2 linked regions of the Rattus norvegicus genome follow. The protein of the gene in region 1 binds, or shares a complex with, the protein of each later gene. Links are inferred from orthologs where the notes say so. Each region holds a gene or a part of one and is shown on either strand. Other genes may lie near its edges.

The links.
Region 2: the proteins of Jarid2 (region 1) and Aebp2 are in contact, whole or in part, in a cryo-EM structure (PDB 8VNZ), measured with the Homo sapiens proteins. The link is inferred for Rattus norvegicus from reciprocal best matches to the Homo sapiens genes JARID2 and AEBP2. Residues at the interface, in NP_004964.2 of Homo sapiens: Ser148, Lys151, Pro152, Lys153, Thr154, Glu155, Asp156, Leu158, Thr159; in NP_001107648.1 of Homo sapiens: Arg407, Ala410, Ile411, Asn414, Leu415, Glu420, Ser421.

Annotation. Positions count from the first base shown.
Region 1 is NC_086035.1:19,983,888-19,987,692, forward strand, and holds part of Jarid2 (jumonji and AT-rich interaction domain containing 2), read right to left. Parts: intron 1,148-3,805; coding exon 995-1,147; 3' UTR 1-994.
Region 2 is NC_086022.1:175,257,819-175,262,370, reverse strand, and holds the start of Aebp2 (zinc finger protein AEBP2), read right to left. Parts: upstream 2,828-4,552; 5' UTR 2,646-2,827; coding exon 1,999-2,645; intron 1-1,998. UniProt on the Homo sapiens protein: Acts as an accessory subunit for the core Polycomb repressive complex 2 (PRC2), which mediates histone H3K27 (H3K27me3) trimethylation on chromatin leading to transcriptional repression of the affected target gene.

The sequences.
Region 1 (3,805 bases):
CTTTTTTGTTAAAACATGAAGAGAAAAAACAGACAGGATGAGCACAGATGTGTCTTCACATTCAAAACAACTGCAGACTTAGTGGCCAAGTGTGGGAAACAGAGATTAATGCTGATGTGTGAGGGACACGAGCAGAGATGGAGGTGGGATGTCAGGAGATTGCACGTGGATGACAGGGAAGCACTTACAGTCAACTGCTGTTTTCCTCTTTCCTCAAGGATGCTATCGAAGGGTTTTTTGTTTTTGATAAAGTAGCCAACAGCACCAAAAAAAAAAAAAATAACAGAATGGATTTCCTAATGAAATCAGGCACAGGTCTCCCTCAGTGACCCTCCAAGGCAGGCAGTCTTTGTCCTCTCTCTTCCTCGAGCGGATGCATAGTGATGTGCTGGTGTGAGAACCTCGTCACTCAAACCTCACATTTCGCTTCAGCTGCCATAGCCGCCCAGCCAAACAAACGGGGCTCAAAGTTACAAACTCCCCTCGCAATGTCAGAAGAAAAGACAGCCAAAAAAAGCCATTTCAAGTTTTCGTGTGTGTGTGTGTGTGTGTGTGTGTGTGTGTGTGTGTGAGAGTCCTCTATCCCTTTTCCAAACTAGAAAAAATCTCATCTGACTGATGGTTTTAAAACTTGTTCTCCAAACTTCACCCTCTTCAAAAATGGGTTAAAAAGCCTTTATTCTTTAACAGTTACCAAAACAAAACAAAAACAAACAAAAAAGGCTTTTCTCAGCCGTGGGGCGACACAAATCAATCCAGCCCTCAAGGGTTTAGACAGTGAGTGCACGCAGCTTCCAACCTGACTGCAGGACCTAGGTGTCTACGTACAAAACTTCAACAGTTTAATGCTAAAACAAAATCAGTTCTCTAAAACCAGAAGAAATTCTTCTTTAGAGCTAGTGCAAAGACAGCTTGTATCCTACAGCAAGTACTCCAAACTAGAATATAGTAATTACAAAAAATATAGAAGTGAGTGACCGTGGGTTCAGCATCTTCATGAGGACGGGAGCCGAGATGGCGGCACATCCACAGTCGCTCTCTTGCGGGGACCTCTTTTTGGTGTGGGTTTGTTGAGACAGTTCTCAATGCCACCGTGTTTGCCAGACACTTTGCCACATATCTGGTTGACCAAACTGATGATCTGCTCCTGGCAGGAGGACAGACAGACAGCATGGAGTTAGTGCAGCAGAGGACTCCCAGGCACCGAGTCCTATGACTTACCAGTGTGTTGTCAGGCTTCTAAATGGCTTTAGGATTCAGAGATGCAGAAAACTTGTGAACAGGACAGAAACTCCTGGGGCTGATGGGACTGCTGACAAGTGTTGCGTGTCACATGCCGCCTTCCTCTTTGGGCTCCCAGCACCCAGCATTGCCCACCACTGTGCTAACACCATCTCTGGGAGATCTGACACCTCTGCCCCTGGTTTACTTGCATTCACATGTATATTCCTTGCATTCACGTGTATATAACTCTCCACAAAGACCTCAAATGCCTGTCCTGCAAAGGAGAAACAGCCGCCTCTACACTGGGAAGCAGACCATCTCCTGAAACTGCTTCATATAGAAACTGAGGCTGCAGTTATCTCTGAGGGCCAACATGACAAGACAAATCTAGAAATTAAGAACAGCATCCAAATATGAGGCATTATTACAGCGTGACACTGTGAAAGTTCTCCAGTATGTGACATTATCAGGTGACCTCTGCGTTAGAGAGGGAAAGAGAGACAACTATATAGCCGTTTACTCATCCAAGAGAACCATGCATCCATATGTATCCATAGCTGAGCCTAAACTTGAAATCAGAGCTCTCCAGAGGTTGAAGCAGCAGAAGAAAACATTTGGGACGATGGAAGGGCATCTCAGAAACAAGAGAGCATAGGCAGGAAACCTGGATACCTGGCACCATGAGTGAGGTGTGGAGGTGCCTGCACCAAAGACTCTTGAGGTCAACGTAGTTGAGAACTGTCTCAACGTTCTGCCTCTGCAAAGCAGCTGCAGGACAGGAAAAGTGACCTCCTCAGAACTCACTCCTCCTTTGTGAAAGCCTTAGAGGCAGTACAAACACTGCCTGGCTGTCTTTTGGGCAGGCAGTCTAAGGTTCTAACAAGTGGCCTGGGATCCTGAAAGCCCTGCTCTTCCTTGGAGCTTCACAGTGCATAGGAGGCAAAAAGCAAGAGTATGAGGGTGTGGGAGGAACAGGTCTGCAATCTTTAGTGCAGCTGTCAGTGGGCTGCACAGGGCTTGAACTAAGAGTTGTATTGATCCTATAAATTACATTTCTCGATCCAACCAGTTGAACTCAAGTGAGGACTAGTGCTGACTCTTTTACTACAGTAAGCCTCCGGCAGAGGGTAGCATCTTATGCTTAGATGACTTTTCCTGACTAGCCATCAGACCACAAGAGTGTTCTTTCAGGACTCTGGTCACAGTGAAATGTTGACCTACAAGACCAGGTGGCTGCCCACCCACTGCTCAGTTTGTAGGATGCATTTTCGCAAGTGTTTCCATGCTATTTGTGCAGATCATGTGCACCGATGTACATTCCCTGGCCCGGCCCACTGCTGCCAACTCTGTGTCCTAGCTAGCTGGAAGACGCCCGTGGTACATACAGGAAGCCAGACAGTAATTCCCACTCATTGCTGAGAATTTTAAGCACATTGTGTCATTTACTGTTCATGTGACCAAGTAGGGACCACAGAACTAAGTTACTTTACTGCCACTGAACAAAACGGATGCAAATAGACCTCCTCCTTCTGCTTTCTAACCTCGGAAACCAGCCTCAGCAAGCATGGGACGAGTATGTAAAGGTCTTGAAGGCACCTTTGTCTAGGTGGTCAAGTTTCAGGGAGCACAGCCAAGGAGGGATGTGGGGGAAGCATGGAAGACTCTGTTGCCTGAGAATCTAAAAGGCAGAGCTTGGGACCACATGGATGATGTGCTGCTGCAGAGCTGGGAAACACAGCGATGGTGGGCACTGTCCAAAGATGAAACCTGAAGGGCACCAGGTAGCCAGGCGTGCAGCACTGGTCAGACAGAGCAGGGTTAGCACGGCCCAGCATAGGGACTCTGGCCTGCGAGAGCCCAGGGATGGCGTTTGAGATGTTCCTCCACCCCAAGAGGAGTTAGAAGGACTATGGAGTCCAAAAGCATCTATCTGCAGTGCAGGCTTAAGACAGCATAAATATCTCAGTACTTCAGACAGGGTGCGGGGAGCAAGGAAGTGTTTATGTTACATAACTCCAGATGCTAGAAGACCAACTGAGATGCTAAGTGCTGTTCAGAGATGCAAAAACAGGATCAACTATCACAGCCTGTAAGTCCTGGGCTCAACCGATCCCCCTTCCCTGCCCCACTGACACACAGTCCACAACCAACAAAGTCCTGCAGCAGGTCCTTCTGCATGCTTCCTGGCTATGCAGACAAGGGCCAAGGGGTGCTGAAATTCACATTCCTGCATCTCATGAGACTGCCAATCACAGTCCTCCATTTCCTTAGTGACTGGGACAAGGCAGATCCTGGGAACCAGTACTTTATCCACTAAGTCCTGTTGTATTAGATAGACAGCACCGCCAGTGGCTATCTGGCAGCCAGGAGAAGCTATACAAGGTCAGGAGAAGCAAGGCCTCATGAGAGCACGCTGTAGAATCTGTCTGGCAAGGAAAGCTAGCATGCAGAACCACCACAGGAGATTTCCATGGCTGACAGTATAGCCACTGAGCAACCAGAGTGGTGCCAGAAAGTGACCTTCATGGCAGCTTTCTCTGACCCACACGGAATGGGCTCTGGAGCCAGAAGAAAATGCGCT
Region 2 (4,552 bases), on another chromosome or scaffold:
CAGCCACGCCTACAACTCAGCACAGCAGCCCCCAAAATAGGCGGCCCCACAGGTTTCTTAAAGACATTACCCGGGTTGGGGATTTAGCTCAGTGGTTAGCTCAAGGCCCTGGGTTCAGTCCCCAGCTTCGGAAAAAAAAAAAAAAAGAAAAAAGAAAAAGAAAAAGAAAAAAAAAAGACATTACCTTCCCCAACCACACCTACAGGTTAGCACATTTCTCTAAGTTTTCCTAAGGAGCAGTCTGTTTTACACCCATTCAAGAACACTTCTTGTGGCAGATAGATGGTGGATCCTGCATTTGGGAGGCTGAGGATTTCTGTGAATACCAGACTAGCCTGGGCTACAAAGGGAAACCTTGTTGTACAGATGTTGGAGGAAAAAGAAAATGTATTTACTTATCTCAGTTTTAAAGTGTCAAAAGAATGCCTGAGGGTTTTTTTTTCCTCCAGATTGTTCATTTATCACTAGCTAATAACATATTCATCTTTTTTGGCAACCAGAATTCCTAAAGACCTCAGAATGCTTTAACTTAAGATCAAATCAAAATCCAGGGATGGTGGTGTGTGTGGACTCTATCCAGAGACTAAGGGAGGTAAAGTTGAATTCTCAATAAGGGCAACTGATTAGGCAGATGCACCCCACCCCCAAAAAAATACAACCCGAGGAGAGAAATCACTACTGGCTTATAAATTCTAATCATCAAAACACTAGCAGATGGTCAAAAGTAAACGCTAATGTACTTTAGGAACATATTAAGCCTGATTCTTTTTCAAAGTACATTGAAAATCAACTTCAATTATGAAATTTTACAAAGCAATCAAAAATTAGAGCAGCAACCAAAACATACTACATTTCTTAAATGTTCTAACTAGAACAAGCTCTAGAAAAGCCACAATTCCTCCAGACACCTCCCCCATACATGACTTTAAAAAAAAATCACCAAGGGGGATGTGACTCCCACATCAAAGTATCGCTGCACAATGCCGTTTTCATAAGTAAGCCACATCCTAATTGTTTAACCTTCATGGCTGTATCTTATGACTCCAATTCTTTCTGATTCTGCAAAGTTACTGTAAAGGACATCAATTCAAACTCACTGTTCTTTTCCACAATGTTTAAAACTTGGTCGCTCAGATTTGATGACCAAAACTCAAATCCCCTGAGATGATATAACTGATACATGTGAGGGGTTCGAGAAGCTGTGATTACACACAACAGACCAACAGTCCTTTTTGAAAGTAAAGCAAAGCCAGGCTTGGGGATGTCCTCCCAGCACAAGTTACTCCCGTGAGATCCAGGAGACCAGCCATATTGGAAAACACTTGTCAATTACAGTTCTGACAAGTGTTCCCGAACACCGATGCACGAAGCTACCGAGGTGTACACCAAGGGCTTCTGGGCCGCTTTGGGGGAGCTGTCTCCGGGATAGAGTCGTCCTTCGATCCGAAAGAACCGCGCGCGGAGGTAAGGAGGGTAGGGGAAAGGAGAGTTGAGGGGGATGGTGAGGAGTTGGAAGCCGCTCAGTGGCGAGAGAGGGGCGCGGCGGCCGCCCGGGATTTCCAAGTTGAGATCTGGGGGGGAGGGGCCGAGAACCAGGGAGCGGGAGATCACCGAGAGAAAGTCCCCCGGGTCTGGGGTCCGGGGTCCCAGAGTCGGGGGCAGGGGTGATGCTGGCGAAGACGTTTCTCAAGGCGAGCGGGCGGGCGGGCGGGGTTGGGAAGGGGAGGCAAGAAACGGAAAGGACCGCGGCGAGAAAGTCCCCTTGGTCCCCTTGGCGGTGGCCCGGACTCTACCCGGAGCAAGGAGATCGCTGCCAGGAGGTCCCCCCTGCTGGGCCACCAGTCCAGGAGGTGGGAGGGGATCGGGCAAGGAAGTCAACTCAAAGGGGTCCAAAGAGTCCCCTAGACAGGACCCAAGGGGAGTCCCCTGGAGTCAGGAAGGAGTCCCCTGAGTCCCCTCGACCGGGTCCGGGAAGAGTTCCCTTGGCGGCGCACTGACCTGTCCTCCGAGTCCATGCGGCTCAGCGGCTCCCCGTCCGACGACATCTCCAGGCTGCCCCGCCGGCCCCCGGAGGTCGCGCTGCTCCCGCCTCCCCCGGTGCCGTAACCCTCGTCGCCGCCGCTCGACACCACGCTACTGCTGCTACTACCGCCGCCGTTGCCCGGGCCGCCCGGGCCGCCCCGCGGTCCCTTGGGCTCCTCCAGGCCCTCCTTCCCGTCCCCATCGCCGCTGCTGCTGCTCGCCGCGCCCGGGCTCAGCGAGCGCGTCTCGTCGCCGCTGCAGCCGCCGCTGCTGCTGCCCACCAGGCTCTCGGCGCTGCTCTCCTCCTCAGCGCCGCCGCTGCTACTGCCCTCGTCCTCGTCGTCCTCGTCGTCCTCGTCCTCGTCCCCGCCCGCCTGGCTGGCGCTCTCGGGGCTAGGCTCCGACATGGTCTCCGCCTCGCCGCCCCCCGCGCCGCCGCCCGCTCCGCCGTTCAACAGCAGCGCGGCCACCGCCTCTGCCTCCGCCTCATCGTCCTCCTCCTCCTCCTCTTCCTCCGGCGGCTCGGCCCGGCCGCGCGCCGCGGGCCCGGGGCTGCCGGGGGACAGCGGGCTGAGGCGGGAGAGCTCCTCCAAGTCGGCCATGTCGGTGAGCGCGGCGGCCATGGCGGCGCCTGCTGCTCCTCCGCCTCCTCTCGCCGCCGCCGCCTCCTCTCGCGGCGCGCCGCCTCGCCCCCGCCTCCCCGCGCCCGCACGCCCCAAACTCCTCGCAGCCGCCGCAGAGCGGGAGGAGGGCCCGCGGGGCTGCGTCAGGCTGCACACGCGCTACGGAGCCCGCGCGGGGACACGCGCCGGAACGCGCGCACTCACGCGGACGAGGCAGCGCGCCTGCGCGGCGGCCCACGGCAGCCACTCCCCCGGCCAGCCTGGCCCCTCGGAGAGTTTCTCGGGGCCTTCCCACGCCTTCCCGCGCCCAGCGGAGGCGGGACGAGCCCTCGAAACCTGAAGTCACTGGGGATTTTCACAGCCCTGTACTTCTCTAGAGGAAAGCATCCGCTCAGAGTGTGTGTGGGAAGGTGTCCTGTAGAAGGAAGCCATAAGTGGAGCAAGAGTCTCACCTTCTGAGTGCTTACCGTACGCAAAGACAGGACACAAAAATGTGCAGAAAGTTAAATAGATTTTTTTTTTTTTGAGGCATAGAGCTGCCGTCCACACCGCGGAGGCATAGTCCTCACTCTCAGCCGGACCTGCTTACCTGTCCCGACGTTCCAACGACCCAAGGAGGGAAGCTCAGACGAAGAGGGCAGCGCTTTAGCTCAAGATCCTCGCAGTTTTTAGTCCTGGAGCTTCTAATAAAATCTGGGATGAAGCTGTAGGTAGGCTGAGTTCTCGGGGGTGTAGTGCTGGCTCTGCCGTTGAGCGATCTAACCGCTCTTCCAGAGGACCCGGCGCTCGGTTCCCAGCACCCACATGGCGGCTCACAACTGTCTAACTCCAGAAGCTCTGACCCTGGCCTCCCTCCCGGTCACGTGGGCGGTGCACACATGTACCTGACCTAAAATAGGCGTGCCTTTACGCCCAGCCCTCGGGTGGCCGAGGCAGGAGAGTCTCCGAGATCTCTAGGCTAGCCTGAGCTATAGAGAGAGTTCTAGGCAGGCCAGTGATAACGCAGTGAAACCCTGTCTCAAAAAGCGAAACTCGGGAGGGTGGGAAGAAAAGAAAGCCTGGAAGGAGAGATCAATACTCAAACTAGTGAAAGCTCCTCCCTATCCTCAGGCAAGAGTCCTTTCCTTTGTGGGGTTTACATTAAGGGAAGCATTGCATCTTCCAAAACTTTCAGTAAGGGAATGCCTTGTTAATAAGCTTTTGTAAAATAAAGACCTGGAGTTTATGTTCCTCCTAACTAGTAAGGAGCCCACATTACACTCTGACTCCCAAGCACAAGGCATATTCTCGCATACTCTCTCTCTCTCTCTCTCTCTCTCTCTCTCTCTCTCTCTCTCACACACACACACACACACGCGCGCGCACACACACACACACAGAGAGAGAGAGACCCCCAGGTAGAGTGCTTTCAAGTTTCTAGAATTCTCTGCCCTAATAAAATAAAAATAATAAAGAAACAACATGTAGCCTACCAAAATAATCACAGCACTCAAGTATGAGGCTAGAAGGATCCTTGCAACTTTGAGGCAAACTAGCGTGGGCCACAAGGTAAACGCCTACGTCACTACAAATACCAGAGTAGTGTAGCTGCAGCCTTACCCTTTGGATACATATTATCACATGTACTGTGTTAAGCCACTGGTGTCCCCCCCCAACCCCCCCAGTGGAAGGAAACATTGTCAAAAAAATGTTGCCTCAAGGGAAGGCAAAAATTAAAATAATAATACACAATATGGGACACTATGTTTTATAAACAACTTTACACAGCTGTTGCCATCTTGGATTGTACACTAAGGATCAACAGAACTGGACTGAAGTAAAGCTTGGAACCAGTGAATATGGAGGTGGCTCTGGTGAATGTTAGAGATTAGGACTGAATTAGTAAAGAATATTCAAACCTTTTTATC